Danio rerio: one gene and its partner. The main gene of each other region encodes a partner of the protein of the gene in region 2 in a complex. Links are inferred from orthologs where the notes say so. Each region holds a gene or a part of one and is shown on either strand. Other genes may lie near its edges. The genes, in order: skic3 and skic8.

Region 1 (17,044 bases), on a different chromosome or scaffold from region 2:
TAAGCAAGATTAGGATTTTATTTAGAGGTCCATAGCATCTAAAAGCGTAAAACATAAAAAAATATGCCCCATATTTAAAAATGATAAGTAATAAATGTTGTTTTTGATTTTCTTGTCAGGTGACTGCAGTGAAGAAGCTGTTTCCTGTTTCAAGCGTCTCTTAGAACTGGATCCAAACAACTCGTATGCTCACTTTGGTCTCGGTATTAAAGCTTGTCAGGATAAAAAATATGAGGATGCCATCAAAAATATTGGTCTGGGTAAGTTCATAAACACTCAGATGTTCATGAATGAATGGAGCACTAAGGTTATAAGAAATTCATTATATCAAATTCTCCAAATGCATTTTGATCATTAAAAGTTGTTTCAATAAATCTTTTACTTAAATTCATGTTTAACTGTACAACATTAATGAAGTTCCTTGCAATTCCTAGGTATACAGTGAAAATTACAAAAAATATGTGTAACTTATTTGTTGTGTGTTTTTTTTTTTCTGCAGGACTGAAGCGTATGCGCTTCTCCATCATTGGTTGGTATAATCTTGCCCTGGCTCAGCTAAAAATGCATAAATACTCTGACAGTGCCATATCTTCCAGTCAAGGTACTGGTTATATGATTCACAGCTAACTGCTCAAGTCAGTTGCACTTAAAAACAGTTTTCAAATATGTTCCTTTTCATTTGTTCAGGGCTAAAATCGAGTGTGGGGAACGCTGATGATTGGACTCAAAAGCTCCTGAGGTTGAAACTAGAAGCTCTGGTGAAGACAGGACGAGAACAGGATGCTGATGAAGCTCTGCAGATACTTGCACTGGTACAGTTTAATGGTTTAAGATGTTGTGTTGCAGTGTTAAAATAGGGATATATGTACACCACTATTCTAAATCATTTTTGAAAAACTTTCTTACACCGTGTCTTAACAACATATGATGTGAGAAGACTTCTTTAACTGCATGTAGTTAGAACATGATGTTATGCTGACCTTGGCTGTGTTTACTTAAACTCAAACATTGTGAATACTATAAAAGTGAAAAATAATATTGTTTATAATAGCTATAATTTAAAAAATGTCCAATATGTTTATAATCGCAGAGCTAAATTGTCGGTAGCCGTTACTCAAATCTTCACAATGTCTTATGATCCATCAGAGATCTTTCTAATATACTAATTATTCATTAACTGTTACAGTTCAGAATTAAGGAGAGATAAGTTTCACACATGGAGTTTCAGATCCTCTCTGAAAAACAAGGACAAGCACATTTTGATGCACAGTGTACATCTACTGTAGGTGTCATTATCTGATAACTTTATTCAGTCAGATCCAGTCCAAATCTAATTGGTTAAGTGCTGATTAATAACCTATAATACATTGTATAGAAGAATTACCATGTTTGTAAACATTCAGGATGTGCGTGCAAGGGAATGGCAAAAAAAAAAAAAAACGGGAGCACTAGCAGTTAAAGCGAGGAAATGACATTCGATGCTCTACAGAGTTTGTTGTTGTCTTAGAAATAAGATATATTGATTACATATTATATGTAGTATTTACATAATGCTTTCAGCATATTATAACCTTGTCACCCAGTGATAAGCACAATGATTCGGCAAAATTAACGTTAAAGTGAGCAGCGTTTGTCTGACAGGTCCATTTGAGATAGCACCCTCCCAATTGATATTGGATACCACAAAATGACCAAGCATCCAGCCCGAAATATACAATCTCATTGAAGCTCCAAGTGATTTTACAAGAGAGAAGTTAAAGGTCTACTAGTCTTTGGATGCCAACAATGTTGTTCTGTGTGGTCATGTGCCAGAAATAATCTTCCATGATTACCAGATTCAAAACTATGTAGTGCTAAAAACCGAGGTTCTGCCAGGCCAAAGAAAAGGGAAAAAGACGGAGCTAACGTTATTCAAGGCCTGGGTAATTAATTATCAACAAGCAAAACAAATGCATTCTGACAGCGAACTACACCTGTACGGCAGAGTATGTGAACTTACACATAGAGGTAAAGTTGGTTTTATATTTGCACATTTGGACTTTCTCCTTTATAATATAATTTCATAAAAGTATTTTTTGCAAACTCTAAATAGCGAAATCATATTAGCAGCCAATGACTATCCAAGTACATTGTTCACAGTCAAATAAACAGTGTTAATGTTGTTTTCAAGTTGCACTTGCAGGTTATTTCAGACCGAATATTCAAAGTGCCATGATAAACAATATAGGGAGTGTTACAAGTTGTCACTGAATGAATGTGTGAATATAAAACCAACTTTACCTTAATAACGTTTCATTCTTAGCATTCAGTGTCCGCAGTTTAATTAAACATATGTAACTGTTTTTGCTGAAATCATTGTTGCAATCTAAAACGAGTAACGTGTATGATTCAGCATAGCGTGAACTTACCTGATAAAACATGAGAACTGCAGAGTCCAGCATTTCTAATTAGGTTTGTCACTTTATTCAGCTCCCCTTTAGCCAAAGACGTCTGCAGTTGGCATTAAAGCAGTGTGGTGTATGGTAAAAGTTAAGTTAAATTTGGCATCCTACCACACAAAACGACATGTTTGCCATTGCAGCCGGTCTTTTTTTGCTACCGGGGACCCGTGTGACAAAGGTTGGTATTTGTCTATAGGTCCGAATGACAGATTTTTTCTTAATCAATTCTGGTGAACATTTTAAGACCTTATAAAAAAATAATTAAAATTTTACAGTAAGTAAAGATCATGTTCCGTGAAGATATTTCCTACAATAACAATATTAAAAACTCAATTTTCGGTTATTAATTTACATTGCTAAGCATTGTATTAATATTTTCTCAATATATGATTTTCTTTAACCCAGAGATTCCAGATTTTCAAGTAGTGTCAAATCCTTAAAAAAAAACATATAATAATGGAAAGCTTATTTATTTCATATGATGTATAAATATTAGTTTCAAACAAATTATACTTATAACTAGTTTTTGTTACTATCAGTGCAACAAGCAGGTGTTCTGGTTAATACTTTGATGTAAACCTTTTTCACATAAACATATATTTCTAATAGCATTGTTTTAAAAGACACAATAAAATTATATAGTTTCATTTTCTTTTTAGATTTCAGATGCCAAAAATGATCCAGTGGTTTTGGCATTAAAAGGAAGAGCTTACTTGGAAAAAGGCCAGACGGAGGAAGCATTTCAGGTAAACAGAACTGCATTCCTAATGTTTTTTATCTATTTATTAAAACAATAGATGTTAAAGGGATAGCTATAAATATGAAAATTTACTCAGCACTTCATCCTCAAATACGTTTTTTCTATTTTAAAGAATGTTGTTAACCTAAAAGTTGATGATGATCGCCAATACCTTCTATAAAATGCTAAGGAAGTTAGTTTGTTTACCTACTGTATGTTCTTCATAATATTTTCTTTTGAATTTTTTTGAACAAGTAAATAGTATTTATTTTTTTCATTTTAGTGAACTATTCCTTTAAGAAATTGGATATTCCAAAAGCGAAGCAGTTCATAATAATGCCATTAATGCAATAATGCCACTGGAATGAAATGATTCTTGCAGGTTTCCACTGAGCTTTTGAGCTCTCACCCAGGATCTGTGGATGGTCTCACTTTGAAAGCACTTCTACATGTTGCTAAAGAACAGCACAAACAAGCTGAGGAGAGGTGTGAAACTCCACATATGCACACGCACACATGCATATATCATAAACAACTTGGGTGTAACCACCAGGCACTTATTTTCTCACTCTGTTACACAGCTTTCTAGAGGCTTTATCCAGAAGTCCAGATAGTGGGGAACTGTTCTTCCTGCTCGGGTCCCTTTATTGGAACATGGGAGAGGAAATACGAAGAGACCGCAGCAAAACTCATTTACTCAAAGTGAGACACTTTAAAATCCTTTTATAGGACCCTGGTAAATATAATTTATTTCCCCCACATTTTGTTTTGTTTTTCCTTTTAGTTTTTATGTATTGTTTTTTAATTTTCTGTTTGAAATATATTTTTTAATTTTGATGGATATAATTTTAGTAATCAAAAACTATTATTTAATTGTTAGCAATATTTGAAATAAAAGTAAAATTTTTTTTAAGCAAAAAAGTAGCAAAAATAGTAGCAAAAAAACAAAAAAAAAATTCTCCCAAACTTTTGGGACTATTAAAGTTCTGCTACCTTAAAAAAAAAAAAAAAACTTAAAATTTAATGGGTTGTTTTAAATTAAAATTTAGGCAATGTCCTCATAAGGGAATGACAGAAGCTAAAAATAACACAATCTTCACATTTTATTAAATATTGTGCATTCAGTTAATGGAATGAACAATTAAGTATAATTCAATTTGATAAATTTTACGTAATATGGCACATTTCTATTTTAGTTCCACTGGAATATTTAGTTCCGCTTCATTAAATTATTTTGGTCAATGTTTATGTAGACTTCAGAAGATTCTCTTCCCTTTGAATTAAAAAAAAATATTTCAAATGTTTGATTACTAGACGCAACCTATATACTATATAACTCCAGGTTAACTATGTTTATATCTAATAACTTTTACTGTTAAAGTTATTAGTAATTGGTACCACACGTCCCACACGGAATCTGCAGATTTCTGCAGATTTTCAGCCAATTATTGAGTCTATTCAGTTGTGTGTAAATGTACATTTCTTCAATTTTTAAATTAAATTCAGTAATATTACTGACTAATATAAAAATTTTCATATGATTTACTTACAATGCAGTTTGCAAAGTAATAATAAAAGACTAAAAGTCTTTTAGTAGATATATTATATGAGTCACTTAATTTGTTTGCTAAATAAATGTAAACATTAAATAATAGTCAAAAATGTAGTATTTTTTTATTTCATATATTAGGTTTTTAGTTAAGATACACTCAAAATCATTCTGCATAAATCTGTAGATTTTTTACAATATTCTGCACAGAATAGCAAAAAATGTCTGCAGATTCTGTCTGGCCCTAATAATTAGTTATTAGTTAGTTAAAGTTATTAACTACTAAAGTAACTAATAAAGTTATGGTAACTAATAACCTTAACTTTTCTGAATTTGATTGTAATGCAATAATGTGCACCTTGTGTAAAGCTGCTTTGTAACAATAATTATTGTAAAAAGTGCTAAACAAATAAACTTGAATGAAATACTTTGCAATTTATTTAATATAACTGTAATGATATAAATACTCAAGCTTTTCATTTACCATGAAAGGATGACATTTTTTACAAGAATGTCACCCGGAACCCCAGGCAAACTCAAATGACATGTTTAAAGGGAATAACAAACATTGAAGAATTTATTCAGAATAGTAAGGCTCTTAACAAAAACACATCACTGATGATGGAATTTTTTGGCCAAAATAGGAGACTGCAAGCTATTTTTAACCATCCTACCTGCCTCAGTGGAAAACAAAAACGAATAAACTATTCTGAACTCCCTAGCTAGCCACAAACCAGAAGATGATCATAAATATATTTCTTGTTTTCTTTTGTTTTAAGGCAGCTAAACTGGATCCTTATCTTGGTTCAGTTTTTCGCCTTCTGGGTCATTACTACAGAGAGGTGGCTAAAGACCAGGGCAGAGCCAGAGGCTGCTATAAAAGAGCATTTGAGCTGGATCCATCTGATGCTGAAGCCGGAGCAGCTGCTGTAGATCTCAGTATGGAGCAGGGGGACATGGTGAGTGAAGACAGAAGTGCATTTGTCTTGTAAAAATGCATTGCAGTCCGTTTGAATGTATCATTTGCATCTTTTTTTTCTCATCAAGATACAAGTTTAACATTGCAGAAAATAGGTTCATTTAAATCAAGGTTAATTTGCTTCATGATGTTCCCTATCTTTAGGACTCGGCGCTGACTGTTCTGCAGTCTGTGACAGAGAGAGCTACTCCTGGCTCTGCTAAATGGGCCTGGATGAGACGAGGTCTCTACCACCTTAAAATTGGCCAGCATCAACAGGCCATTGCAGAGTAAGTGAACTGATGTCAGCTGTAAGGCCTAAGTGGTAATAAGATTTGTTTCAGTGGCCCAGGGTGGTGTGCTCAGCAGATACTTTAAAAGCTCTTTTTAAAGCAACTGTAACGTTAGCAGTTATAATGATGCAAGATGTTAACAGGTTTTTACAAAAAAAATGTATTAGTAGTAAATCAAATCTTCCATCCTTTTGGCAATTAGAAGTCGAACAGTGAACTCCAAGTCAATTCCTAAAATTGAATCGCAGCCAATCAGGATATAGATGTAAAATGTTTCCCATATATTTTACATATTTAATATATATTAAATATGATAAAATATGGTTTTAAGTGTTTTGAATTACAGGGACATAAGGTTAAACCACCTTAAAGGTTCATGAAACCCTCAAGTACTTTTGAAAAATTTTTTAACAGATTTGTGTGTGTCGAGCATCAGTTAAGACAATGTTAGCACCTGTGAGCTTTAATTGTGGGGAAACCTGCATAATTTTGAGGTTTTGTCAGCTAATAAACATCTTCCGGGTTTAAAATTATTTTTAGTGAGGGATCAAAATCGGTGAAGTAGCGCAAAACTGCAAATGCAAAGATGATGCGTCGTTTCTCATTATTATTCATAGTGGAGTTTTCTTATCCTCTGTGAAGAGCCGGCTTCTTAATTATTCTATGTTGATGACTAGGTGAAACCATGTCCACGGACCCACAGCATGCAGTATTTAGCCGTTCATGAAGGGTCGTATGTGTTTGTTTTCATGATCAATGGGTTTTTTGCATGTTTTTTTCCTAATCCTTTCAGGGCCGATACAGAAAACTGTTTGTGTGCAGCAAGCATTTTTGTTGGGAGAGCAGTACAATGATTGGAGAATGGTGGACTTTGTCCTTTATCAGTGGAGTTTGTTTACATTTAGACACATCGCCGTGCTGCTGTGTTCGCCTAAATTTTCCAGCGGGGCTAATGGTTGAAATAGACAGGGCAGGAAACCTGCTGCATTGAGTCTGCATTCAGACCCGGGGATTGAGGGAGAAGTTCTCATTTATAGTGTTTATATGAACATGATTATTAGTGAACAAAAAGTAGCTCAGTTATATAGAAATTTGGTGAACAGATGCAAAATAACTATATTTCCAATCCCATAGTAGTATGAAAGGTTAGTACAGACCAGAATCCACATAAATAGCTTTACATAAAATTTTGCATAAAATAATCAAGACAACATACAATATGGTGTGATAAGGATACAACAAAGATAACAGAAACAAAACAAAAACAGTCTGGAAATCTATACGAAACTCAACAGTGTAACTTCAGTGTTAGAGATGTATGATCTCTAACACTGACTCTAGTGTATTATTTTTTTTTATTTTATTATTACTGATTTTTGTACTACTAGCATAGCAAGAAAAGTGTTGTCAATGTCAAATTTTATAATATAAATTTTATATATAAATGTATAATTTTTAATAATTATATTACTATTTATTCATTTATCTCCATTTCGGCTAAGTTTTTTTTTTAATCAGGGTTGCTACAGCAGAATGAACCGCCAAGTTATTCAGCATATGTTTTACCCAGTAGATACCTTTCCAGACGCAACCCAACGCTGGGAAACACCAGTAAACACTCAGATACACTCATACACTATGGCCAATTTAGCTTACTTAAGCTTATTTTAGCTGGTTTTAATTTAGCTTAAAACCAGAGCACCCTAAGGAAACCCACACGAACACGAGTAGAACATGCAAACTCCATATAGAAATGACCAAACTGACCCAGCTGGGACTCGATCCAGTGACCTTTTTGCTGTGAGGTGATTGTGCTACCCACTTCGCTACCGTGACGCCCAATTATATTAATATATTTTTTTTAATAAACAGCTTATAAAGATTTCAATATAATAAAGCAGCTTTCACAATGACAGACAGATATAGATAGATAGATTTGTATGCGCATTTTGGAATATCACATAACTAATGCTTAATAGAAGTCCACACTCCTGTCTCAAAAGATTACTTTATCATTTTAAAATTTTGGTGGTTAAATTATTCAATACTTAACCAGTGGTGTAAAGTAACAAATTACTAGGGCTGCCAATTGATTAAAAAAAATTAACAAATTAATCACGCTTTTTGTTGTAATTAATCATGTTTAATTGATTAATTATACAACTGCAGCAAACCACTTGAAAGCATTAAAAGTGTCAAAGAAAATGTGCAAAATCTTTACATGCAATGATCCAAAGACTGTTCTGACTGCATCATGTAACTGATAAGAAGATGAAGGATGTTTACTATATGATAACTGAAATTGCCAAATGGCCTTAAAAAATAACTAAATGCACTACAGAATGTTACATTCACACACACACACACACACACACACACACACACACACACACACACACACACACACACACACACACACACACACACACACAAATCGCATGTAAAGGCAACAACAGTTCACTGTGTAATACTCACTATTCTTGAATAGTTTTGAAAAGGGCTACTTTTTAGATACAGATACTTTTACTCGCACTACATTTTTGAGCAAGTAATGTTACTCAAGTATGACTTTTCAGTACTCTTTCCACCACTGTACTTAACACATTTAAATACAATTATTAATATTGTTTTGTTTTGTTTTATATTTTTTTAAGTATTTGAAATGTACTCATGATTCTGCTGTGGTGTCAGTCTGCAGGCGGCGTTGAGGGCTGATCCTCAGGACTGGGTCTGTTGGGAATGTTTAGGCGAGGCTTACCTAAATCGCAGGAGCTTCACCGCTGCCCTGAAAGCTTTCGATAAAGCCCACGTACTGCAGCCCACCTCCATCTACAGCCTCTATCAGACCGCTGCCATTAAACAAATCCTCGGCCGCTTTAAAGAGGCCGCCGCGGAATACAAGCAAATCTTAGAGAAGGAGGACTATGTGCCAGCACTGAAAGGTTTGTTGGATTTCTGCAGAAACGTTGCAAACACTTTACAATAATATTCCATTAATGTTAGCTAATGCATTTACTAACATGAAGTAAGAATGAACAATAATTAATCATAGTTTAACCTGTACCAATACAATATTAAAATACAGTCAGCGTCAATGCTTCCCATTCACTTTAAATGGATGACGTCAGGTGTTGCTAAACTTCATTGTGAATGTGTCTGCTCGCTGCAGAAGTTCTTAAGCGCCGACATACATCTCCGATATCTCGGATACAAGTGGCCAAAATGAGTTTCCTTCACAAGGTGGCAGGGTGCACCCTTATAGATACCCAGGAGGAACTGTAGAGGAGTAGAGCTGCTGCTCTTCCACATCGAGAGAAGTCTGAGGTGACTCGGGCATCTGTTTTGCATGCCTCCTAAACGCCTACCTAGGGAGGTGTTTCAGGCATGTCCCACTGGAAAGAGTCATGGGGATTGCCGTATTGCTGCAGACATACAATAAAAACAGTACAAAATACAGTAGTTCAAACAATAATAATTATGATAAAGTCTTGTTAAACAAACTCAATGAAACGGGTACAAAGAATTTCTTGTATTGATCAAACTACACTTAGGGACTCTATGTCTCTTACCAGAGGGAATCCAGATGGAGCAGTAAAATCTACTTGAAAGTGACAGAATGTTTAATTCCTCCTGAGGACTTGACACCCACAATTAATATTTATTAATTAATTATATAATCGAAACTTGGCAAAGAGAATGGGACAACTGCATAAATAATAAATTACATGAAATTAACCTGAAAATTAATAAAAGACACTTTGCAAATGATAATTTTGAGACCAGGGATGATCAAACTATCTCAACTAGATTGGACATTTTAACTAAGACCCACCTGAATGTGATTACTACCAGGCTGCTACTACTATCAAACTAATTTTGTTGGAATGTGAAAGTTTGAATAGAATTAGACAAAATATTTATAAGGAGAGTACTTTGATGGACATTTTTAAAAAGGTACCACCAGGAATAATCTTAAATTATTTATCAAAAATTGAACAGAACATTCATGTTTAACTTTGAATATTTTATTTATTTATATTATATATATTTGTCTAAGTAACTTTTTATTGTAATACGAATTAGTTTTTATAATGTCATATGTTTATGTATATTCATTTTGCCATGAAATAGCCATAAGTTGCTGATGTGGCAATAAATAAATAATAAATACATAAATACCAGAGGGAATAATTTTATTAATATATTATCTGTTTATTGGCACTTATAAAGTTTCACAAATTTTCTACCAGGAGTGGTGTTTGAACCCACGAGGACATCTGTCCATTGGATCTCAAGTCCAACACCTTAACCACTCAGCCATCTTGGTTAGCCCTTATAGAGTTTGATATTATTTTACATCCCTAATACTACCCAAAACCTAAACCCAACCACTACCTTATTAACCAGCTAGTAAGTAGCTTATTAGTAGTTTATTGACCTAAAAGTCTTAGTTTGTTAATAGCTGGAGTTTTACATTAAAATAAAGTGTGATCTGAACAACTTTAATTTCATTAACTAACTTAAATAAATACTGTAATAAATGTATTGTTCATTGTTTGTCCATGTTGATAAACACAGTAACTACTGGAATATTATTGTACAGTGTTTTCCATACAGTATATAAACTTGTAGTGCTTCAGAAAGACTTTTTACTGTGTTTTGCTTTCTCAGGTCTTGGTGAATGCTTGTTAGCTTTGGCTAAAAGTGCACTGGATGACTATCTTGATGGAAGAGCTGTAGATCTGATACAAAACGCCATCCATTATCTGTTCAGGTAAAGTGTTTTGTGAATATGGAGGTCTGCTGGAAAAAAATGAATACATCTCATTCTGTAAAAAGCCTTCAAGCAATGTAAGGTGTAATTAATGGCTGTCATCCATTGAGTATTGATGTGATCTCTTTGTTTGTTTTCTTCTGTGCGCTCAGAGCTGTAAAGCAAAGGCCAGACCTGTCGTGTCTGTGGAAGTTATTAGGTGATTCCTGCACCGCCTCCAGAACTGTGTCTCCAAACCGGGCTAAAGTGCTGGTACCTGGAGCTCTGTGTGGAATGGATCCATCCGATCAGAAGCACACACTTGACCAGAGACAGCTCCTCACTCTCGGAGAAAGGTGAAAGACATACATTTACAATTGCCCATCAGATTAATGTTCAAATAACAAACTTTTTGAAATCCAGTCCTTAGTAGGAACATAATCAATTTTTTCTTTTACCTCAAGACATGATGGGGTTATTTATACACAATGTCATATTGGACAAACTAAATGTACTCCTGGACATTTAATTAAAGGGGAATTTCCCAGGATTTTATTAGTATAGTTTTATATTATCTAATATCATACTAAATGTAATTCAAATTTTTACAATGCCATATTTTTAATGTTAACAACATTAAAGAGACAACGTTTTTTTTTCTCTGGAGAGACTTTAAATAATATACATTTTAAAGGGGAATCATTTAAATACTGTAGAATTTCTATAAAATGTTTGTCTTAAAAATCTGTTTTAGACATGGCATCAGGAAATCTTATTTTACGATAAAATAGCCATTAAAGCTAAAATAGCCATAATCTCCCTTCTGCACCAAATAAGGCAATTGTAAACAGAAATGTTTACTATTAGGGTAATATGGATATTTTTTCTCTATTTCTTGAATGTAATATGTAATATTGGTAAATAAGCATATACAATCTACATTTGAACAAATCATTGAAGATGATAAGAAGACTTTTTTTTTTCTAAATTTTCTGCTAAATTTGTGATTATCCACTTGTAATCAGGACAAAATTGTGTCAATACCAGGTGTATAGGGGCCAAGTGTTAATATTTGAACATCTGAAGTGGATCAAAAAAGTTTTTCAAAATGTTCAAGTCATTGTAATGACATATATTTTTGCAAAAGATTTCATATCTCAAACACAAGTACTTTTCTCCTGAACTTTTTATTCTTCAGAGCATTCACAAAAACACTAAGCATCACAGTTGTTTTCAGCATTGATGATAATAATAACAGGTTTCATACGGTCATGGAAAACCTGGAAAAATCATGTAATGTTGACATGGCATTTTCCAGGCCTGGAAAAGATTTGGAAAAACAAAAAAACCTACAAGGTTTTGAAAAAGTCCTGGAAATTGCATTTACATTTAGTCATTTAGCAGATGTTTTTATCCAGAGCAACTGGGGTGGTATTAAACAATAGGATTATATGTTAATAAATTGAGCGATTGCTCCATATTTTAAATGTCTTATTTTAAATGATCTTCTATTGGTCTAACCCAATCAAGTGATTCGCAGGTAAGAATTCACCAAGCTTGAACTTTTAAATGCAGTGAATGTGAAACTTGGCGCACGTGCTTGCGTTTCTAGTCTGCCGCATTCGCATGCCTATGAATGGAAGTCTATGGAGCGAAAAGTGCAGTGTAATCGCTGCTTTACAATAAAAGTAGTTTTACCTACTAATACTAGTTAAACAAGCTATTTACATTATCTAAAATTAGTTTAACAAATATCTGTATACTGGATTGGAGGTTAGATATTTTTACTTCTTTTCTTGGCCAAAAACATGGTCTCGCATCATTAGTGCTGTGTAACCATCATCTATTTTATATAAATAAAAAAAATTAATTAAACCGCAAGAGACTGTTGCATGTTTTATGATATGCTGTAATAAATGTAAACATTCTTTGTTTTTCTTATAATTTACCTTGTGTATGTAGACATTACATTTCCCAGAGATGGGTTGCAGCTGGAAGGGCATCCGCTGCGTAAAAAAAGATATGCTGGATAAGTTTGCGGTTCATTCCGCTTTGGCGACCCCAGATTAATAAAGGGACTAAGCTGAAGAGAAATTGAATTAATGAATGTAGACATTACATGAAACATTAGATCATGAATATTGACTCGAAAGTCCTGGAAAAGTCATGGTTTTTTTGTAATGAAAATGTGTATGAACAGAATGTTGAGTATGAAGCAATTATTGAGCATCAGTTTGGCTTATAAAGTGGATTTCTGAAGGATCATGTAATACCAAAGAGTAATCAAAAAACAGAAATGTGCACACATCTGGGATTCTCAAAGGCAGGATTCTCAAAAACAAATACAGTGGCAAAAGGTCAAAAGAAAATCGGCACACTGCTACTTTAGCTCTCAAAAAATGCTTGATGCAACAATATTTCAATGACATGCAGGTCGAAATGTTGTTGCATTAAACATTTTTTGAGAGCTAAAGTAGCAGTGTGCCGATTTTCTTTTGACCTTTTGCCACTATAGAGCGATCACACAGTCTCAGACTCTGCTTTGACATCACAGAAGTAAAATACATTAAATATATAAAATAAAAATCAAATTATTTCTTCCAATAATCAAGGACAAACTTTGTGAATTTGCTTGTATTTATTTAAGCAGATACAGAAACATTCATTAATTCATTTTCTTTTTGGCGTAGTCCTTTTATTAATTCGGGGTTCCCACAGTGAAATAAACCGCCAACTTATCCAGCATATGTTTTATGCAGCAGATGCCCTTCCAGCTGCAACCCATCTCTGGGAAAAGATACAAAAACATATTGAACTAATTATTAAAATGAAGACTGGAAAAATGGAAAGAAATATAAATTAGATACTGTATATAAATAAAAATACAAATGAATAGAAATAATGCCTACTGCAAAAATAAACGAATAAATGCTAATAATTTCCTCATTCTGTAATGAACCTATATTTTATTAGGTGTTTTGGTCGTGCATTAAAGCTGATGCCAGAAGCTCCCAGTCTGTGGTGTGACCTGGGTTTGAACTATTACCATCAATCCAGACTGCTCAGCTCTCATTATCCTGAGGAGGATCCCCAGGCTCTGCTGGAGAAAGCCCTTCAGGTACTTAACCCGAATTTTTTGAATTCATAGTGATCTCATGAGTATGAGTCTTAACAGGCTGTCACTGTGATTTTGTCACTGTTCTGACAGTGTGTGAAAAAGGCAATCATGCTGGACAGTGCAAATCACACATACTGGAATGCCCTCGGGGTGGTAGCCATGACAAAGGGTAAACACAATCAGATGTGCATAATCGAATTAATCTGCATTACATAACTACAATGTGATTGGTCATTTGTGTGTTCATTATATTCTGTTTTACAATCTTAGGAATTGAAAATTTTGCACTTGCACAACACAGCTTCATCAAATCAGTCAAAGCGGAGCCAAACGTAAGTGATGCAAGAAAGGGGAACAGTTTGCTTACTTTTTAAACATTTGTGTTGATGCAAGTAATATAGAGTTGACGTCAAAATGATGAGCCCTCCTGTGAATGTTATTTCATTTTAAAAAATAACTCCCTAGTGTCTTAACTGATATGTTATTATTTTTAACACATTTTTAGACACAATAGTTTTAAAAACTATTTTTTTTTGTCTTTGCCATGATGAAAGTACATAATATTTTAATAGTTATTTTGCCAGGTACTATTATTCAGCTTAAATTGCTAGTTAAAGACTGAACTAGGTTTTTAGGTTAACTACACTCAAAGCATCTGTTTGTTAACTATTTCCTTATTTTGTGATTGACAAGTGTTTCCCATTTATATACGGTTGTGAATTGCATTATGAGATGTTGATCTCTGCTCTGTTGACTTTTGAATTCAATTTAATTGAACTCCAATCCAAACTTGTTGAAAAAGTTTAACATAGTGACTTTTATTTTAGAAGTTTATATAATGTATAATAAATAAAATCTTGAGAAATAAGTCTGTAAAATAGAAGAAGGTGTACTGGCGGTGGCTTTTGTAGTATAATATATAACACCAGCCTGACAATATATCAATTTAAACTATTAAAATGTTAATAAAAGTCACTTTTTCAAACTTTTCATGGTTAAACGTTGATGGCAGAAAGATCAAGGTCCCAGAATATAATTCAAAAGCCATAAATAAACAGGGGAAAAAATAAAAACATGAACCTCAAAATATGGAAAACTGCTAATATACAGATATGGTTTACAGTGTAGGCAAGTTAGAATAAGTTATTGGAAAAGTGTTTTTAATGGGGCTAATAATATAGTTCTTAAATTTTTACAAATACAATAAAACTGCTTTTATTCCAGCTTAATTTAGCTAAAAGAAATAAGACTTTTCTCGGAAGAAGAAAATACCGTGAGATTTTTACTGCATCTCTTAAACATCACTTAATAAATAATTTAAAACAACAACATAATAAAATAAAACAACAACAACAAATTGACATGAGGGCTGATAACTGTATCTCCTGGTTATTTTTCAGAATGTGGTAGCCTGGACCAACCTTGGTGCTTTGTATCTGAAGAAGGGAAATATAGAGGTAAGGTTGGTTAAGGGATTAGCTTGACAATTACACTCACACTAATAATCTCTAATTGTCGTTTTTTTCTTTTTTTTTTTTTTTTTTTAAGCTTTCTCATGAAGCCTTTAAGATTGCTCAGTCTCTAGAGCCCCTTTATGTGAATTGCTGGATCGGACAGGTAGTTGTTTAGACTTGTGACAAGTTCAAAAATTAATATAAAATCCAGTGGTCTACTCGCAACATATCTAACATCTTTCTCGTTACACAGGCCCTCATTGCTGAGACAGTTGGCAGTTATGACACAATGGATCTTTTCAGACACACCACAGAACTGAGCACTCATGTATGTGTACTAATTTCTAAATATTTCGAATCATTCCGATATTTGGGCTTTGCTAAAAGCAGTCTTATGTTGAACTGGTATGTTTTTGGGAATAACCATGAATACAATAAATGGGAAAAAAAAAAAAAAAAAAAAAAAAAAAAAAAATATATATATATATATATATATATATATATATATATATATATATATATTTTGTTATTGTTTGTTAGAATTTTAAGTAAAGGTCATTTTCTGTAAAAACATTTAGTGTATTTCATACAGTAAATATTTTATAAACATTACATGTTTAATTAGTAATATGCATTGCTAGCAGATTTATTATATAGGCAATTTACTCAGTATTTAGATTTTACTCAGATTGCAGGTTTCAAATATTTTTATCTCTGCCAGATATTTTCCTAACTGTGCAAAACATACATCAGTGGAAAGCTTATTTCTTTAGCTTTCATATGAATCTCTGAGGTCCAGGGGCACGTATTAGCATTCAGCATGTAATGTAGATCAAAGATTCTTCAAATTCATTCTGAAACCAAAATAACACCCAGTGTTGTAGTGAACTCTGTATAAACATATATACAGACAAAACATGAAAATTTTCGTGTTCAAATAGTCTGCAATGAAATACGTCAAAGTAAATTCGGAATTCACCACTTTTTTTATTTGCATTTTCCAAACTGTCCTAACTTTTTCTGATTTGGGGTTGTATATAGTGTATATTCAGGGTGCATTCTGTAGCCCTAAATATCCACCATTCAGTGTCACAATATCCTTCAGAAGTCATTCTATATTGCTGATTTTGTCTATGTTAAATACAGTGAGTTTTTTTTCTTTTAAGTACTATAGAAAGCAACAACATTATTTGGATATAGCATTTTTAAAAACATTTTGTCTCGACTGTCCTTTTTGATTGTTTTATTGCAGCCTTGATAGATAAAATGAGATATTGCTTTAAAAAAAGACCACAAAGGTATGAATTGTAGTATATCATTTCTTCTTCATGTTCAAATGATTGCTTTATGTTCTGTTTAGACTGAAGGAGTGAAGGGTTATGCGTACTGTGTTTGCTCCACACTGCTGGACAGGAGCAATAGAGACTCAGAGCTGTATCTCTACAACATTGTCCAGATGAACGCTGTCTCTGCTGCTCAAGTTGCTCTGAGCAAGTACACTGGTGAGAACACAGACACATTACTCTGGATTAAAAAAAGTGTTAGGGTTTTTAAAGTCCATGTGAAAGGAAATTTTACGATATTTGTTTTGCTAGCTCTCTTTAATAAATGCAAATTAATCTACTGAAAAGATGGATCAAAATAGTTTGTTTAGGTAATCTTCAATGAAAGTCTGACCATTTGCTTCCACATTTAGAGTGGCAGTCTTTCATTTGATATCAACCTGAGGGCTTTCATGG
Region 2 (17,044 bases):
GGAGTTAATTACATTTTAAAATATATATGAATGAAAAGTGGATATTTTAAGTTAAAAAGCACAACTGCTAAAAAAAAAAAAAAAAAAAAAAAAACAGGATTTTAATAAAAATAAAAACTAATTCTAATCCCCAAAGCTGCATTTGTTTGATTAAAATTGCAAAAAAACTAAATTATAAATTATAATTTCTTTTATTAAACACAGTTGAAATTGTCCTTCAGAAAGCATTAGAATACAAACTTCTCCTTAAGAAACATTTATTGTTGTTTATTATTGTAATCAGTGTTGAAAACTGCTGGGGTGCAATAATGCAGCACAATTTTAAAACACATTTAAATTGTTCACCAAGAAAGTAAAAAAAAACATTTCAAATGTAAAAACAAAAAATATTGAATTACAAATAAGTTACTTTTAACTTACTTTTCATGAAGGAAATCCTAAAAAAAAGTGAGAGTCAGCATTTTCTAATGATTTTTGAAGGATCATACAACACTAAAAATCTCAAATCTAAAAAAAAAATCATAGAAATAAATTATGAATCAATTAAAACAATAACACACTAAATAACGTTATATCAAATATTATACTATATATATATATATATATATATATATATATATATATATATATATATATATATATATATATATATATATATATATATATATATATATATATATATAGTATAATATTTGATATAACGTTATTATATATATATATATATATATATATATATATATATATATATATATATATATATATATATATATATATATATATATATATATGTATATATATGTTCTGGACCTAAGACAGATCGCTGTGGTAGATAGATAGATAGATAGATAGATAGATAGACAGACAGACAGACAGACAGACAGATAGATAGATAGATAGATTGATAGATAGATAGATAGATAGACGGACAGATGGATAGACGGATAGATGAATAGATAGATAGATAGATAGATAGATAGATAGATAGATAGATAGATAGATAGATAGATAGATAGATAGATAGATAGATAGATAGATAGAATGACAGACAGATAGACAGATAGATAGACATATAGATAGACAGATAGACATATAGATAGACAGACGGACGGACGGATAGAAGATAGATAGATAGATAGATAGATAGATAGATAGATAGATAGATAGATAGATAGATAGATAGATAGATAGATAGATAGATAGATAGATAGACTAACTTTTAACAGGTAATGTAAGAACTGAACTGCATCTAACACATTATTTCCATCTGGACCTCTTGGATTGAATGAAAGGGAAGAGCGAAGAAGACAAAGAGGAAAGAACTGGAGTTGTTTTGTGACAGAAGCTGAAGTTAAAAAGCACAACTGCTAAAAAAAACAAAAAAAAAAAAAAAAACAGGATTTTAATAAAAATAAAAACTAATTCTAATCCCCAAAGCTGCATTTGTTTGATTAAAATTGCAAAAAAACTAAATTATAAATTATAATTTCTTTTATTAAACACAGTTGAAATTGTCCTTCAGAAAGCATTAGAATACAAACTTCTCCTTAAGAAACATTTATTGTTGTTTATTATTGTAATCAGTGTTGAAAACTGCTGGGGTGCAATAATGCAGCACAATTTTAAAACACATTTAAATTGTTCACCAAGAAAGTAAAAAAAAACATTTCAAATGTAAAAACAAAAAATATTGAATTACAAATAAGTTACTTTTAACTTACTTTTCATGAAGGAAATCCTAAAAAAAAGTGAGAGTCAGCATTTTCTAATGATTTTTGAAGGATCATACAACACTAAAAATCTCAAATCTAAAAAAAAAATCATAGAAATAAATTATGAATCAATTAAAACAATAATACACTAAATAACGTTATATCAAATATTATACTATATATATATATATATATATATATATATATATATATATATATATATATATATATATATATATATATAGTATAATATTTGATATAACGTTATTATTATATATATATATATATATATATATATATATATATATATATATATATATATATATATATATATATATATATATATATATATATATATATATATATATGTATATATATGTTCTGGACCTAAGACAGATCGCTGTGGTAGATAGATAGATAGATAGATAGATAGATAGACAGACAGACAGACAGACAGACAGATAGATAGATAGATAGATAGATAGATAGATAGATAGACGGACAGATGGATAGACGGATAGATGAATAGATAGATAGATAGATAGATAGATAGATAGATAGATAGATAGATAGATAGATAGATAGATAGATAGATAGATAGATAGATAGATAGATAGATAGATAGATAGATAGATAGATAGATAGAATGACAGACAGATAGACAGATAGATAGACATATAGATAGACAGATAGACATATAGATAGACAGACGGACGGACGGATAGAAGATAGATAGATAGATAGATAGATAGATAGATAGATAGATAGATAGATAGATAGATAGATAGATAGATAGATAGATAGATAGATAGACTAACTTTTAACAGGTAATGTAAGAACTGAACTGCATCTAACACATTATTTCCATCTGGACCTCTTGGATTGAATGAAAGGGAAGAGCGAAGAAGACAAAGAGGAAAGAACTGGAGTTGTTTTGTGACAGAAGCTGAAGTTTAAAACCCCTGAGGGACAGCCAGAGACGCAAACAGGCTTTTCCAGCACGTTCACGTAACCCATAATCATCCTAAATGCATCCAGCAGACGCTCTGCTTTAATAGAGGAAACCGAAGACAGCCTGAATCATGTGGAAGACGATTTTCACCTTCCAGCGTGTGCAGGAGTTTCCCAGTCGCAATATCAAAAATATTAATGATTCCGTCAATAGCACCGCTGGCTAAGTACTTTCCATCTGGACTCTGGAGACACAGAGAAAAGAAAGATATTACAGTCTGGAAAACCCAACAAATGTTCGTTCAAATGTGTGTGAGAGTGCGTAATGTGTGAAATCTATTTCTTTTCTTTCTTTTTTTAAAGCCTGTACATAAGTGTCACTGTAACGCTCTGCCCTATGAAAAATACATTTCCCAGATGTTTTCCATGATTCATGCTCAATATTTTATCTTTATTTCTTGGTAACAAAACATTTTAGAGCTAGGCATAACAAAAGCCATTTGTTCAACATTCTTTTATAAGGAATCCTTATAATTTATAGTGTCATTACATTCTCAAGACCATAAAAGATGTTGGACCTTGTTATGTTTAATAACCTACATATGTAATAACTTATACCATAAATTATAATGGAATATGATGGTGATAAATGATTTTGAATTAGCTCCTTTTGGACAAACTCATCAGATCACAACCCACAGTTCAGAACACATGTGACCCGCAGATTAGGTGAATACTTTTTTCTTTACTTGTAGATCAATCCTAAATTTGTAACGATCAGAGAGCGATCACCTCTTGCACCATTGAAATCACATGTATGAAAGCATTTAGGCTTTCCTGTAAAATATAATGAGGAATATGTGGTGGGTTATTCAGGATGTGGCAGGTTTCTTAGGTTATTAAAGGTGTTTTCTGTCATTACTTAGTCTTGTGTTCTCGTGTAATGTCATCATCAGCTGCCAAAGTTCTAACGCCTGTTTCACACCGCAAGCGTCAGCGGCGCGTGAGCAGAGCGTGCGCAGCGCGTATGTCGAGCAGTAGCAGCATGCAGGCGTTTGCCTTTCACACCAGCTGCGTCTGCAGCGCGGAGCTCTTCGGCAGCTGCTGCAGAGATCAACCTATCTCTGTGTATTCTATCTAGTTACCCATGTCTCTCTATTTACAAATACACTTTTTAAACTTTTCATCTGCAACAAGGCCCCTCCTATGCTGTTTCTTTAACCTGCAAATGTTTATTTTACAAAATTTATAGATCAAATAGTACTGTATGCTTCTCAAGCTAACTTATATGAGAAGTGTCTACAGTCAGAAGACAATCGCCTGTGTTGTAGACCTAGTTATAATAATATTTATACAATATAGTTATAATGATATTTATACATGATCAAACTAGTGTTACTTTCTCCGCTTCAGTGATGTCCAGCGGCAGAATAACAGCTCGTTAATTCATGCTCGTGCAGATGATGAGACGGACAAAAGTAACCAATGCATGCCATTCTTTTACTTATTTTCGTGTTGTCAGATTCACAGAGCAAACAGCTCCCGGTAGGAATAACTCGAGTGAACATAAAACAAAGCCGATTAAAACTTTCTTCCTCTGCTAGCTGCACAGAACACAGCGAGCTCACATCATCCAGCATGCGTGTCGAACTACACTACCCACAATACACTTTGCTATGGACTACAAATCCCGTAAATATTCTATTTCCCCTCTCCTACAACACTAGTGTGCAACTTAAGCAAAACTGATACTAAAATTGTTTTACATTTGGTTTTGTAGTTCGGGCCTAAATAAATGTTTCTTGCCGTTTTTAATCGTTTTAAGTTAATTTGGATGACTATATAAACCATTTGACATTATTAACGCATTTATTGAGTAAAATTGCTACTTTTTACTGTCATTCAATGTGTTTTGGTCATTATCAATGCACTGTAACTTTAATGCGCGTCAAAAATAGACCCAGCGCCGAAACTATCGCTGCACTGCTGCTTCGGCGACGCTCACGCCTCGCTCTGACGCGCTGCTGCTGCTTGCGGTATGAAAGCTCTAATCTGTTAACATGGACGCCGAAAACACACGCGCTGCTCACGCTCTGCTCACGCGCCGCTGACGCTTGCGGTGTGAAACAGGCATAATACTCAAGACCGCAAGAACAGAGGATGCCTGAAACTTCCCGGATGTGTTCTTGATATCAAGGACGCACTAATGCAGACTTGAGCACCGTTCTTGCTCTAAAAGTCCCAGAAGTCATTGCGACTGGAGGTGGAATGCGCAGCAGTTTATTTAGATTTGTTATTAAAGTTCAGAGATATGACTTATTTACTTCAGGAGGTTCCCAAAATGAAACGGTGAATGTAAACATTACCATGGACATATTAATAAAGGAATATACACATTAAGGGAATTTGTTTGCTGAAATTCGTATAAAAATTGGAATTGAGAAACAGCCCATTGTTTAGCCTGCATTAAGGAATTCAGTGTAAGCTGCACGATTAATCAATAAAAGATTGGGATCTCAACACCCACTCAACATCAATTATAAATGATGGTGATTTGCACATGTTTATTAATCCTCGAATCGCTGCATTCAAATCTGTGTTTGAAATACGCAAAAATCAAGAAAGATATGGAGTCTTTAGTCTTTTGAGTTAGTTACAAACAGTCAAATGACACAGAATTACTTGGTGAACAGTTCATAGTTTAGATAAAACCACTGATGATTATGGTAAAGATTAAAACTACTGTCATATGCATTTAACAATGCTTAAAAATGAAAATTGTAGGCAGCAATTACATTATTTAACCAATAGGTGGCGACAACCAGCCATCAAAAATATGCCATTGTATAATGCTTCAAAAACGATACATGTAGCAATGAAACATGAAGTTTTATGAGTGAAAGACTGAATCATTTATTAAAAAAATTAAACTAAAAATTAATATGGGTTTAACAAATTATAATGTTAGATTAACACATTTAGCGTTATCAGTAACAGTAGTAGCAATTCCAGCGTTATGGATGTGACAATTGGAGTAAAAACTCAAAACATAAATTCACATAGAAAGAATACGTTAACATTATATTGAAAATTTGTTTATATTTTACAGAACAACTAACCACAGGGTTACAGGACCAGAAAAATATCAATCTGTAAACATGATTCGCACTTTAAATGAGGAAAATAGACATGCGTTATGGATGTGACCAAAAGAGTCTGCGAGTTTACAGTTCACAAATTACTTTGTAGAAATTTTGTATATTAAATTGCACAAACCAAAAGAAATAATGCTAATCAAAACGATAAGAGTTGGTTCTCTATAGAACAAAAAATATTGATATTATTTTATACTGTTGCATTCATGAGGAAAAAGTGCCGTTATGTGAATTTGCTTCGTTATGGATGTGACCGATGTAAAATTGCCACTTGTGTGACTTTGCTAATTCAACTAGAATAGTTTGAAAAAACTAACAGATCACACGCAAATGGCTACAGCAAGAGCGACCAACCCTTAGTTATTGGATAGACGCAACTATTGAGATCGACACAATGGAAAAAATCACTTTTGTTGTCAATTTAAAGAAGGATATATTCCTAGGAAAATGGAGAAAAAGGGTTAAATATATTTTAGTTAGAAGACCCGACTTTGTTGCTATAAATGAATACAAGATGTTGTTCTGATAGATAAATATATGCTAATGTATGTACATGTATATGGTTACACTTATTCATATTATTATGTGTAACATCCCCATGTGTATAATGAAGATAGTCACTTGAGATTATTCTGGAAGGAATTATATTATGACATGTGTTCTTACCCTGGATGTAAATAGTTTTTTAAATTCCATTTATTTTTGATTATTATATTTTATTGGATCTTTTTCTTATTTTTTTTACTTTTCTTCTCTTTTTATGCTGTTTTTCATTTTATAATTTACAAAATTTGAGTACTACTGTGTAGAAAATACACCTGACAATAATGTACGCAATTGTTATACCATCTAAGCTCACATACTGAGATACCACTGTACCTTAAAATACTGTGATTGTACTCAACTGAATATTCAAAATAAACAAAGTTAAAAAAAAAAAAGAAAGAAAACACTAACAGAGATATTTTGATTATTTCTAATGTACTGAAAAATAATTGCTTCCCCGAAATCTTGAAAACTGTTTTGCTATTTTGTTGAAAACCTAGTTTTTTTTTCATGGCAAGGTTGACATTTGCATGGAATTACTCAGTCGTGACAGTTAATTCTTCACTGTACTAAACATTTTACAACAAATTTTTATTCAGCTGATTATTTCTTCATTTAATTTTTAATAAAATTACAAGTTGTAATATCTGTTTGTTAAAACCAAAAGTTTCCTGCAGTGCTGTTTTTGTAATAAATGGAAAGAAAATTACAGTTGTCTCCTCCCCTTTTTGGTTGATATGAAAAATGGTCCTGAGACTAAAAACTCATAATGAGATCCGAACTGTGGTATTTGTGATCCATTACACCAGGCATGTACAAACTCGGTGTCCTGCAAAGTTTAGTTCTAACCCCAATCAGTCACACCTGGCCTAGCTAATCAAGCTCTTACTAGGCTTTCTAGAAACATCCTTGCAGGTGTGTTGAGGCAAGTTGGAGCTAAAATCTGCAGGACACCGGCCCTCCAGGACCGAGTTTGGACACCCCTGCATTACACCATTAATACTAATATACATATGCATTGTGTGTGTGTACGTAAAATAAAAACAAATGATGTAACATTTAAAATGAATGCCTTTTAATAATGCTTTGTGATCTTACATAAGCGATGCTCAGAATGAATTTCCCTCTGGTGTCCAGTGAATGCTCCTTTTTCCCACTTTCCACACCGAAGATGTTGACCTTCCCAAGATGGCTGCCGGTGGCGATGTATTTGGAGTCAGGAGAGAAAGCCACCGTCCAGGCGTCAACTGCAGACGGAATAGAAAATAAGTTCACCACACTCAAAGCTGCATTAAACATCAAATGGGATTTCGAAAAAGATTTTTCCCAATGTTTCAATGTAAACAGTCTGCAAAAGTGCCAATCAAGATGAATTAAGAAAGACTTAACTCTAAATTGCCTTAACGAGCCGTTACATTTTCAAGTCTTTAGCCTTCTACCAATCTACGACAAGACAATAACAGTAACTATTTTGCATTATTCCAAAACATACGAACACTCTGAAATGGGTGTTTAATTTTTGACATGGAATAGGCTCAGAAAGACCGATCAAAACAGACTTGTCCAGCTGACCAATCAGAGCAGAGTTGACTTACGGAAGGGAGGGGTTTACAGATTATAAGCCCACGATTCATTCAAACAAACTGTGCTGAAATCATTGCAGAATTATTTTAATTTGAATTACATAATCTGAGGAAATTACAGTGTTTTCTGACCTTAGATGACTCTAAAACAATATTAGGACACTTTAATATACCATACACCTGCTCTTAAAAAAAAAGAAATGAACGCTTACCAGGTCCCGCGTCCATGGATTTAATCTGTTTGCCCGTCTCCAGGTCCCAGAGGCGAATGTGAGCATCCAGAGAGCTGGAGGCGGCGATGGCTCCATTCTGACTGATGTTCACAGACACAACACCCAGCTGATGACCCTCGAGAGTCCACTGCAGCTCCAGCTTCTCATCACTCCTGCCAGACAAGAGCAGAAAAATAGACACTTTTTAGGGTAGGTTTAACCTTGAGAAAGCTTTGGTTCAATTGAAAACAACTCTGGAGTGAATGCTGCCATCTGATCCCTGGTGAGAGCAATGAAAAGATGCAGATTTTGTACTTGGAACGAACAAGATATCTTTAAAAAGCCCACGTGGACAATTTCGCAAGATCTGGGGCCCTTTCCTCTGTGATTTCATGAGGAATTATATTCTTTAAAGCTATGTATTGTAACTAAAAAGTTGCTTTGATTGCCACTATATTGTACACTTACAGGCTGGGATAGGGGTGTTCTTTTAGTTTGTTTGTTTGTTTGCTTTCGTAAGTTTATGCATATCAGAAAATAAATCCTGGAATGTGATTATTGTTCAATTTAATTCGATTCATCTTTCTTTCTTTCTATACCACTTTTATAATGTAGATTGTGTCTAAGCAGCTGAACATAGAAGTTCTAGTAAATTGAAACAGTGTCAGTTCAGTTTAAGTTGAAGTTCAGTTTAGCTCAGTGTGGTTTAATTTTCACTGATGAAAGTCCAAACACTGAAGAGCAAATCCATTGATGTGCAGCTAGCTCCACATGTCCCGAACCAAGCAAGCCAGTGGCGAGAAACAAAACTTCACCAATTGACGAAAGTGAAGAAGGAAAAAAAAAATCTAGTGATAAATCAGAATCAGTTGAGCACAACAATTTCTCCTCTGGCCAAACTACTTGTGCAGAGCTGCAGTCTGGGTGCAGGAGGCTGCAGAATGCTGGACGTCCATCCAAGTATATTCAATGGCCAAATAAAACTTATTTAACTGTTTTTTGATTCTGACTAAGACAGGGGTGTCCAAACTCGGTCCTGGAGGGCCGGTGTCCTGCAGATTTTAGCTCCAACTTGCCTCAACACACCTTCAAGGATGTTTCTAGAAAGCCTGGTAAGAGCTTTATTAGCTAGCCCAGGTGGGCCTGGACTAAGAGAACCAGGAGAATTAAACAACTAGGCCTAGGTAGTGTATATAAAATTTGTTTGTTGCTCATAATATAAAAATAATAATAAAGATCTTATAAATGATTTTGGGTTATTATGTTAAGGGTTGCTCTTTAAAAGATGCCAATTTTAATATAAACGTTATCACTATGTAAATTTCACATTCACAAATGCAAATCGGCAAAAAGCAAACTTCTCTTCATGGCACTAGAAAAACAGATTGAATAAATGGCACATATATAAATGTGATATAAAACAAATATTATATGCTCCTCTGTTAACGTTTTTGCATAGAATGTCCAACATAGGGTTGTAACGGTATGAATTTTTTACGGTATGATAATCGTCTAAAACAATACCACGGTTTGACGGTTTCGCAGTATACGGTATTAAATAGTAATTCTCATAGCAAAGACCCTGAAAAGAATAAGAACACATTTTCTGACTGAACAAAGGTTTTATTTCAACAAACTTTTGAAAGAACCATTTTAATAGAACTATAGAAGTCTTTTATAAAAATAAACTGAAAAATCTCCCATTTTAATAAATTAAATTAGAAGGAATAAACAAGCAGGGTCTTTTAAGATTAGACAAAAATAAACTTAAACTGTCCTTCCTTATAAGCAGGATAAATGGGAGACCAAAAGTGCAATACCAAGTTTATGGCTGTAAACATGTATTTAAAGCGTTGTTTTTTTCAGTCTAGGTTGTGATGAAGAAATGTAAGCATGTTGAGATTTTCAGGACTTAATATTGACCGCTGAGGTGAGAGAATGTGTCCACTTGTACAATGAACAAATAAAAAAATAATAAATAATGTCAAAGTCCAAATAAACATGGTGCAAATCCTCAGTAAAAATAGATATAAATATTTACTATACTATAAATAGTTACATAACGAAACTAGATTCAATATGGAACATCCTTAGGTTTTATGTGCCACCATGGATATGGTTGTCTGTGGATATGGATTTGGATGTGGTTGTATGCAATGCAGACAAACAACTGCACCTTCATTTCGTTTTATTTAGCCGCGCAGAAATGTATGCCTATCTCTCATTCCGTGTTGTTCAAAAAGCTCAGTGTTGGTCCACAAACAAAAGCGAAACCTATGCTTATTGGTTGTGATATAGCGAGTTTGAACCAATCTGGGCATGGAGGAGGGACAATGCATCAATGTATCATGTCTGGTTTGTCCGGAGACACAGTGACGAGCGTTTCTTTGTCAAATCAGCGTTGTCAAATTTTGATGACGTAACCGCACTGATTCCGGAGCCTCTGAAAGTCCGCGAATGTTATGTGATACAGCACTAGAAAGCTGAGATTCTCTTCTTTATGCCAATCTTTCAATTGTATGAATCAGATCAGCGGATCAAAGGTTATTAAACATTTAAGAGCAATACTTATTTTTAGCCGCGGGCGGCTGTCTCGGTCTTTAAGGGTTAAAACCGTTGATATGCAATTGTTCATGGTATGATAATCGTGCACGTTCAAATCGTGGTAAACCGTCATACCGGTATATTGTTACAACCCTAGTCCAACATACTGCTTTTTTAAACTTGCAATTGTGAGTTTACATTGATTCTGAAACAAGATGTCAGAATTTTCAACCACTGTGAGTTATAAATTAGTGCGATTTAAAGTCAAAATTGTAAACTAAATTGTATTTAAACCCCTCGGAATTGTATTTATATCACACAGCTAGGCCTGTCACGATAAGGAACTTAGGAAATAGTTGCAATACGCGATACTACTGTCATATTGATATCATTTTATACCACTGATTATATAATGATCCTATATCAGCATAATAACTCAAACAGCCATTATCACTTTAAAATACTTATCATATTTAGATTCTATAAGTTGACGTTAAAAAGGTAATTTCCTATTGTATATACCATTTAATGTCCTATTAGGTAAATGTCTCATTTTAAACTTTGACACTGGTGAGGTAGAATGTAAATGTCATTGTAAAATGGCTTTAACGTTATTTGTGAATTTGTAAATATATACTGCAACGGCAAAAATGATTGAGGTCATCTCAAAGTATTGCTCGACAAGTCGATATATGGATTATTGTGACAGGGCTACACACAGCCTTACTGCAAACACACTCTAAATCAAAAGTTTACCCTTTTACTGCACTTTGCTCATTGATTTACCATTTCCACACTTTGACCAGGTCATCCAGAGAGCCGGTCACAATGGTTTCAGAGCCGTCCTTCTCACTGCGACCCCATGCTGCTGTCCAGATGGCGTCTTCATGAGCTGCAAATGCATAAAAGCACATTTAGTAGCTCAAATATGCTCCCTATCTAGACAGCTCACTACATTCCAGACATTTTTTAGGAATAAGTGTGTGAGGAGGACTCACCGTGCTCCTGCTTGAAGAGTATACTGTACTGAAAAACAGAGAAATAAACATTTATATAACATAAAAGCATGATTTTGATCACTGTATAATACACTTTAAAAATGCTTTTCTTACTTAGATGATTTTTATTAAACATAGTTTGTTGTTTTAAGAAATAATGTGTCAAAATTAAGTGAGATTTTCCTTAAAACAAGCAAAATAATCTGCCAATGGGGTAAGCAAAATAATCGTAAATCAAAAGGAAAAGCAAGATTATTTTTCTTACCTCAAGGGAAGATTATTTAGCTTGCTTTAAGAATAAACTCGCTTAATTTTGACATATTATTTCTTAAAGCAAGACACTATGTTTAGCTTATTTAGAAAAAGCTTCGTGGTTTAAATATTTTTTAGAGATTTGGACTAGAAACAAGTCAAACTTTAAGTAGTAAGAGCATTTGTTGCAGTGTAACGTTAAATAAGTCAGAAAACTTCTAGCTATGTGAAAATATTAGAGATTAACTCACTTGTGTGCTCATGGTTCTTCGCTTCAAACCCTGGTTGTGCTATAAAGGAGTTCTTATGAGTTAATAAGCCGTGTGTGATTTTTATTATTAATTATCTCACTTTATACACTCAATTCATGCAATGGTGCTAGCGTATTTTAGCTTTTCAATAAATGAACGGATTCTTTACGTCTTCTGTGCGTCCCGAAAAAGCTGTAGCGCGGTCGAGCTAAACACCGTAAGCGTTTAATGGTAGCTACGGATATTAAATTAGGAAATAATGCGGTCTGTTAACAATAATAAACGGCCGCAATGATACCGACTAGAGAGCCGCCATGACACCTGCGCGCAAAGCAGCATGGGAACAGACGACTGACTCCGCCCTCTCGTGCTGGCTTTCAAAACACTGGTCTAGAGGAATATTATTATTCATTCATTCATTTTCCTTCGGCTTAGTCCCTTGTTTATCAAGGGTCTTCACAGTGGAATGAACCGCCTATTATTCTAATTATTATTATATAATATTATGAATGTAACTAATATATCTTAACTAACGTGTGTGCTAATTAGAAAGAGCTTTATTGCCAGGTATGTTCACACATACGAGGAATTTGTTTTCGTGACAGAGCTTCTACAGTGCAACAGAATCACAGATACAGGACAAAAACAGATGATAAATATATTTTTTAAATAGTAAAAAAAAGTAAGTGAATGCAAATATACAAATTGACACGTGTACAGGTAGATTATATACGTTATATGTGCGGCATATAAAGTGTGTTGTTAAATAAGTGTATATGTGTGTAAAAAAAAAGTGTATAGCAAGTAGTGTGGTTGTTAAAAATAACAATATCCTGCAATAATATTAATATTATACAAATAAAAAAAAAGAAATTTAATAAATTATATATATATATATATATATATATATATATATATATATATATATATATATATATATATATATATATATATATATATATATATCAATGATGAGAATAAAATACCATTAAAATTAAAACACAAAATGAATCATTAAAAATATATTTTTAACTAACTAAAAAGGCTACAATTGTTTTACAATAATAAAAATCAAACATTTATTGAATCAATGCTAATATAATAAAAACATAAAATATAAATGATAAAAATACATTATTGTACTGAAAAGACCAGATAATCAAAGCATTATTAAACAACATGTATAAGTGCAAGTAGAAACTGAAATTGAAGTAATAAACATATTAGTTGTTTATAAAATAAATACTAAATATATATTTCTCAATTCTAAATTACAGTACTAAATATATACATCATTATTGATACAAATGCAGGTACCAGTTATTGTAATATATATATATATATATATATATATATATATATATATATATATATATATATATATATATATATATATATACACTCACCGCCCACTATATTAGGTACACCTTACTAGTACTGGGATGGACCCCCGTTTGCCTTCAGAACTGACTTAATCCTTCGTGGCATAGATTCAACAAGGTACTGAAAATATTCTTTAGATACTTTGGTCCATATTGACATGATAGCATCACGCAGTTGCTGCAGATTTGTCGACTTTACATCCATGATGTGAATCTCCCATTAAAGTAGTACTAGGGTTCCACAAGGCTGTGTCAGTTCACCTATTCTTTTTACACTTTTTACAAATGAATGTTCAAGTAAGCATTAACAGAATTTTATTTTTAAATATTCTGATGACACAGCCATTTTTAACCTATAAGAATGATGATATCAGTGTTATCTACCAGTCAGAAATTAGCCGGTTTGTTGAGTGGTGTGATAGAAATAAGCTAAAAATAAATACTAAGAAAACAGAACAGATTATATTTGACCCAAAGTGTATAGGTGACCATCGTCAAGTGGTTGTACACGACCATCCTGTCACTCAGTCAGAAACCTATAAGTGCTTAAGCATTTACATCGACAGTTTTTTCACATGGAAAACACACATTGAGTGGGTTTGTTCTCGTTTACACCAGAGATTGTATTTTTTACGTAGGTTACGTCTTTTTGGAGTTAACAAGAAGCTCATGATGTTGTTTTCTAAAACCGTTCTTGAAAGCATTGTTAGAGATTTGGTATCACAGTGTGGTTTGCCAACCTGGTTCAGTGTAAATCTAAGTTGATGCATCTCCTAAAGACAGAATGGAAAATTGTTGGGCATGATGAATATTTTAATCCTCAAGTTTTATATGAGAAATATGTCCTTAATCAGCTGGAAAGGATTGTGAATGATCCAACTCATTTTTTGTTTCCACATTATGAACTTCTTCCCTCTGGTAGAAGATACAGTCCCAAAGTGTAGGTTAAACCGTTATTAAAAAAATCCTTTGTTCCTGTTTCAGTGGGTTTATTACACATTGACGAATTTGCTCTTCAGTGTTTGGACTCTCAGTAATGATTTCAAACCACACTGAACTGAGCTAAACTGAACTGAACTTAAACACTAAAAACTGAACCACCCTGATCCAGTTATTATGACCATTTATGTGAAGCTGCTTTGACACAATCTACATTGTAAAAGCGCTACACAAATATAGCTGAATTGAATTTATTTAACAAGAGTCTATATCAATTAGCATTATACATTTTGTAACTGCTGTATTTTATATTATATTGTTATATTATTGTTTTTATGGAATGTCTGCAGCAATATGATGATGCCCATAACAAATTTCCTGTCAAGGACACTAATGGTTACGACTACTACACCACATCCCAAAGGAGCTCTTTTGGATCGAGAACTGGTGACTGAGGAGCCATTTGAGTGCAGTGAACTCATTGTCATGTTCAAAAACCCCGTCTAGGATGATTCATGCTTTATGACATGGTGTGTTATCCTGCTGGAAGTAGCCATCAGATGATGAGTACACTGTGGTCATAAAGGGATGGACATGGTCAGCAACAATACTCAGGGAGGCTGTGGTGCTGACACGATTATCAATTGGTACTAATGAGCCCAAAGTGTGCCAAGAAAATATCCCCCACACCATTACACCACCACCAGTAGCCTGAAGAGAGGCACCCAGAGTGGTCTTCTGCTGCTGTAGCCCATCCGCCTCAAGGTTGGATGTGTTGTGTGTTCAGAGATGCTCTTCTGCAGACTTCAGTTGTAACGAGTGCTTATTTGAGTTACTGTTGCCTTTCTATCAGTCTGGCCATTCTCCTCTGACCTCTGGCATTAAAAAGACATTTGCGCCCACTGTTTTATTTTATTTCTCACCTCAAAAGCATTTCCTTCTGCTGTTAATGAGGCGCGAAAAAGAGAGAGAAACCAGAAGGCGTTTAAACAACTCTCATCCGAAAATCTCTTCCAGACGAGACTTCTCCTGCAGACTGCAGCATATGACTACAGAAAAGTCCAATCAAAGAGCTCTGGGTCTGGGAGTCAGACAGAAGGAAGTCCATATGCTAAGTGGGATTTCAGCCCTTTTATGTCTAGAGCGGTGAGAGTTTCTCAGCTGATGCCCTTTGAGGTGCAATGTGTCTCGCAGAGGGAATTCAGCATCGACTGACCTAGATCTGACAGTGTGAGTCAGAAACAGAGGAAGAATGCCATGCTTGAAGCTTTAGATGAATGAAATATGCTCTATTTTATGACTTTGACTGCTTATGGAAATATAAAAAATGACTTTCTGCAGTGCTTAGAAATACTACTGATCTGAATGGTTGGAAAAGGAGAGCGAATATAGTCCTATTCCATCATCTAGTGCCATTACTGTACTGCCTGATTAGCTTTAGACTTCTGAAATATGCAACGCAATCATGTCAAATCATAACTATTTTAAGCAACATAGGCTCATTCTAAAAATGTATCCTTATATACGTTTCTAGAGATCCCAAATTATGTATGGCTGCATTTTGTTTTTTAAGAGTTTTTGATGCCGTTCCTTTCACGCTTACCAGCTGACTGATTACCTCCATATGGATGGCTTTCCCGCTGTTACCAGTTTGTCAAGTAGCTTACAATGTTTGTCGGCAGACTTGAGGTGTTGACCACAATAACTGGGTTTGAATCCAGTGAAGAACGATTCCAGAAAGCAGGTAAGACAAAAACAGAAGCCAAAAAATTTAATGAACAAGTATATAACAGGGTGAGAATGTGGCAAAACCTGAAAATGTGGTAAAAATCAGGCTGCCGGTGAGGGCTTTTCTTTTTCTGGATTGCTTTTTAAACTGTCGGTTAGGTTTAGGAAAGTGGGTGGTCGGGTCGATCTGTGCTTTTAAAAACACTATTTGTTGGGTTTAGGAAAGGAGGATGGTGGATCAGTCAGTCAGTCAGTCAATCAATCAATCAGTCGACAGCGGTGGATTTATGTGAGGACAGCAGATGCGAATGGCACTCACAAAAGAAATTTGAAATCTCAAAAAGCGTACACAGAGGTGGATTCACGAAAACAAAAACTGCCAAAATCATAGCTCCTAATATATTTGGCGTTCTCCAGAAATGTATATAGGGCTACATTTTCAGAATGAGCCTGGGTTGATTAAGTTTAAGTGAATCGAGGTGATTGGTAAAACCGTATTGTAGGTTTTCAAAGATTTGTTTATGCCAACTTACGGTTCAATTAGCTTTAGCTACGGGATTGGGGTTTACCTTTCATGTTTACATGTGTGTCTAAAAACCAAAAGTAGTCTGTATAAATCATATTTTATGAATTTATCTCCTACAAAAATATATATGGAAAACCATAGCTATAAGCCCTGAACGGCTTAGCTCCCTAGTATTTGAGGGAGCTCCTGGTGTATTAAAGCCCCTCATGTCTACTACGCTCTATTAATTCTGGACAATTGATTATTCCCAGAATATCAAAATCAACTG

What was found.
Region 1: the proteins of skic8 (region 2) and skic3 are in contact, whole or in part, in a cryo-EM structure (PDB 7QDS), measured with the Homo sapiens proteins. The link is inferred for Danio rerio from reciprocal best matches to the Homo sapiens genes SKIC8 and SKIC3. Residues at the interface, in NP_001290176.1 of Homo sapiens: Asp16, Asp17, Trp20, Leu40, His63, Gln64, Leu65, Gly66, Leu84, Ala86, Gly105, Pro106, Val107, Trp110, His126, Lys149, Phe150, Glu187, Gly188, Ala190, Arg194, Asp201, Gln203, Tyr213, Asp218, Val219, Gln220, His221, Asn223, Leu224; in NP_055454.1 of Homo sapiens: Lys649, Leu688, Gly690, Lys691, Tyr695, Asn960, Pro963, Val967, Asn970, Lys971, Glu974, Gln994, Leu995, Lys997, Glu998, Ser1226, Asn1227, Lys1230, Lys1252, Leu1256, Lys1257, Gln1260, Lys1261, Ala1263, Leu1264, Leu1265, Pro1267, Trp1273, Lys1295, Arg1296.

What each region holds. Positions count from the first base shown.
Region 1 is NC_133180.1:54,925,902-54,942,945, reverse strand, and holds part of skic3 (superkiller complex protein 3), read left to right. Parts: intron 1-119; coding exon 120-260; intron 261-499; coding exon 500-601; intron 602-687; coding exon 688-812; intron 813-3,100; coding exon 3,101-3,187; intron 3,188-3,562; coding exon 3,563-3,666; intron 3,667-3,761; coding exon 3,762-3,882; intron 3,883-5,508; coding exon 5,509-5,688; intron 5,689-5,852; coding exon 5,853-5,977; intron 5,978-8,671; coding exon 8,672-8,922; intron 8,923-10,224; exon of another isoform or gene 10,225-10,307; intron 10,308-10,651; coding exon 10,652-10,754; intron 10,755-10,906; coding exon 10,907-11,089; intron 11,090-13,706; coding exon 13,707-13,851; intron 13,852-13,941; coding exon 13,942-14,020; intron 14,021-14,121; coding exon 14,122-14,183; intron 14,184-15,251; coding exon 15,252-15,308; intron 15,309-15,399; coding exon 15,400-15,468; intron 15,469-15,558; coding exon 15,559-15,633; intron 15,634-16,665; coding exon 16,666-16,807; intron 16,808-17,044. UniProt on the Homo sapiens protein: Component of the SKI complex, a multiprotein complex that assists the RNA-degrading exosome during the mRNA decay and quality-control pathways.
Region 2 is NC_133200.1:7,006,015-7,023,058, forward strand, and holds the start of skic8 (superkiller complex protein 8), read right to left. Parts: upstream 12,504-17,044; 5' UTR 12,214-12,503; coding exon 12,202-12,213; intron 11,727-12,201; coding exon 11,699-11,726; intron 11,593-11,698; coding exon 11,487-11,592; intron 8,330-11,486; coding exon 8,157-8,329; intron 7,609-8,156; coding exon 7,460-7,608; intron 7,267-7,459; exon of another isoform or gene 5,984-7,266; intron 5,755-5,983; exon of another isoform or gene 4,940-5,754; intron 3,686-4,939; exon of another isoform or gene 3,020-3,685; intron 2,906-3,019; coding exon 2,812-2,905; intron 1-2,811. UniProt on the Homo sapiens protein: Component of the PAF1 complex (PAF1C) which has multiple functions during transcription by RNA polymerase II and is implicated in regulation of development and maintenance of embryonic stem cell pluripotency.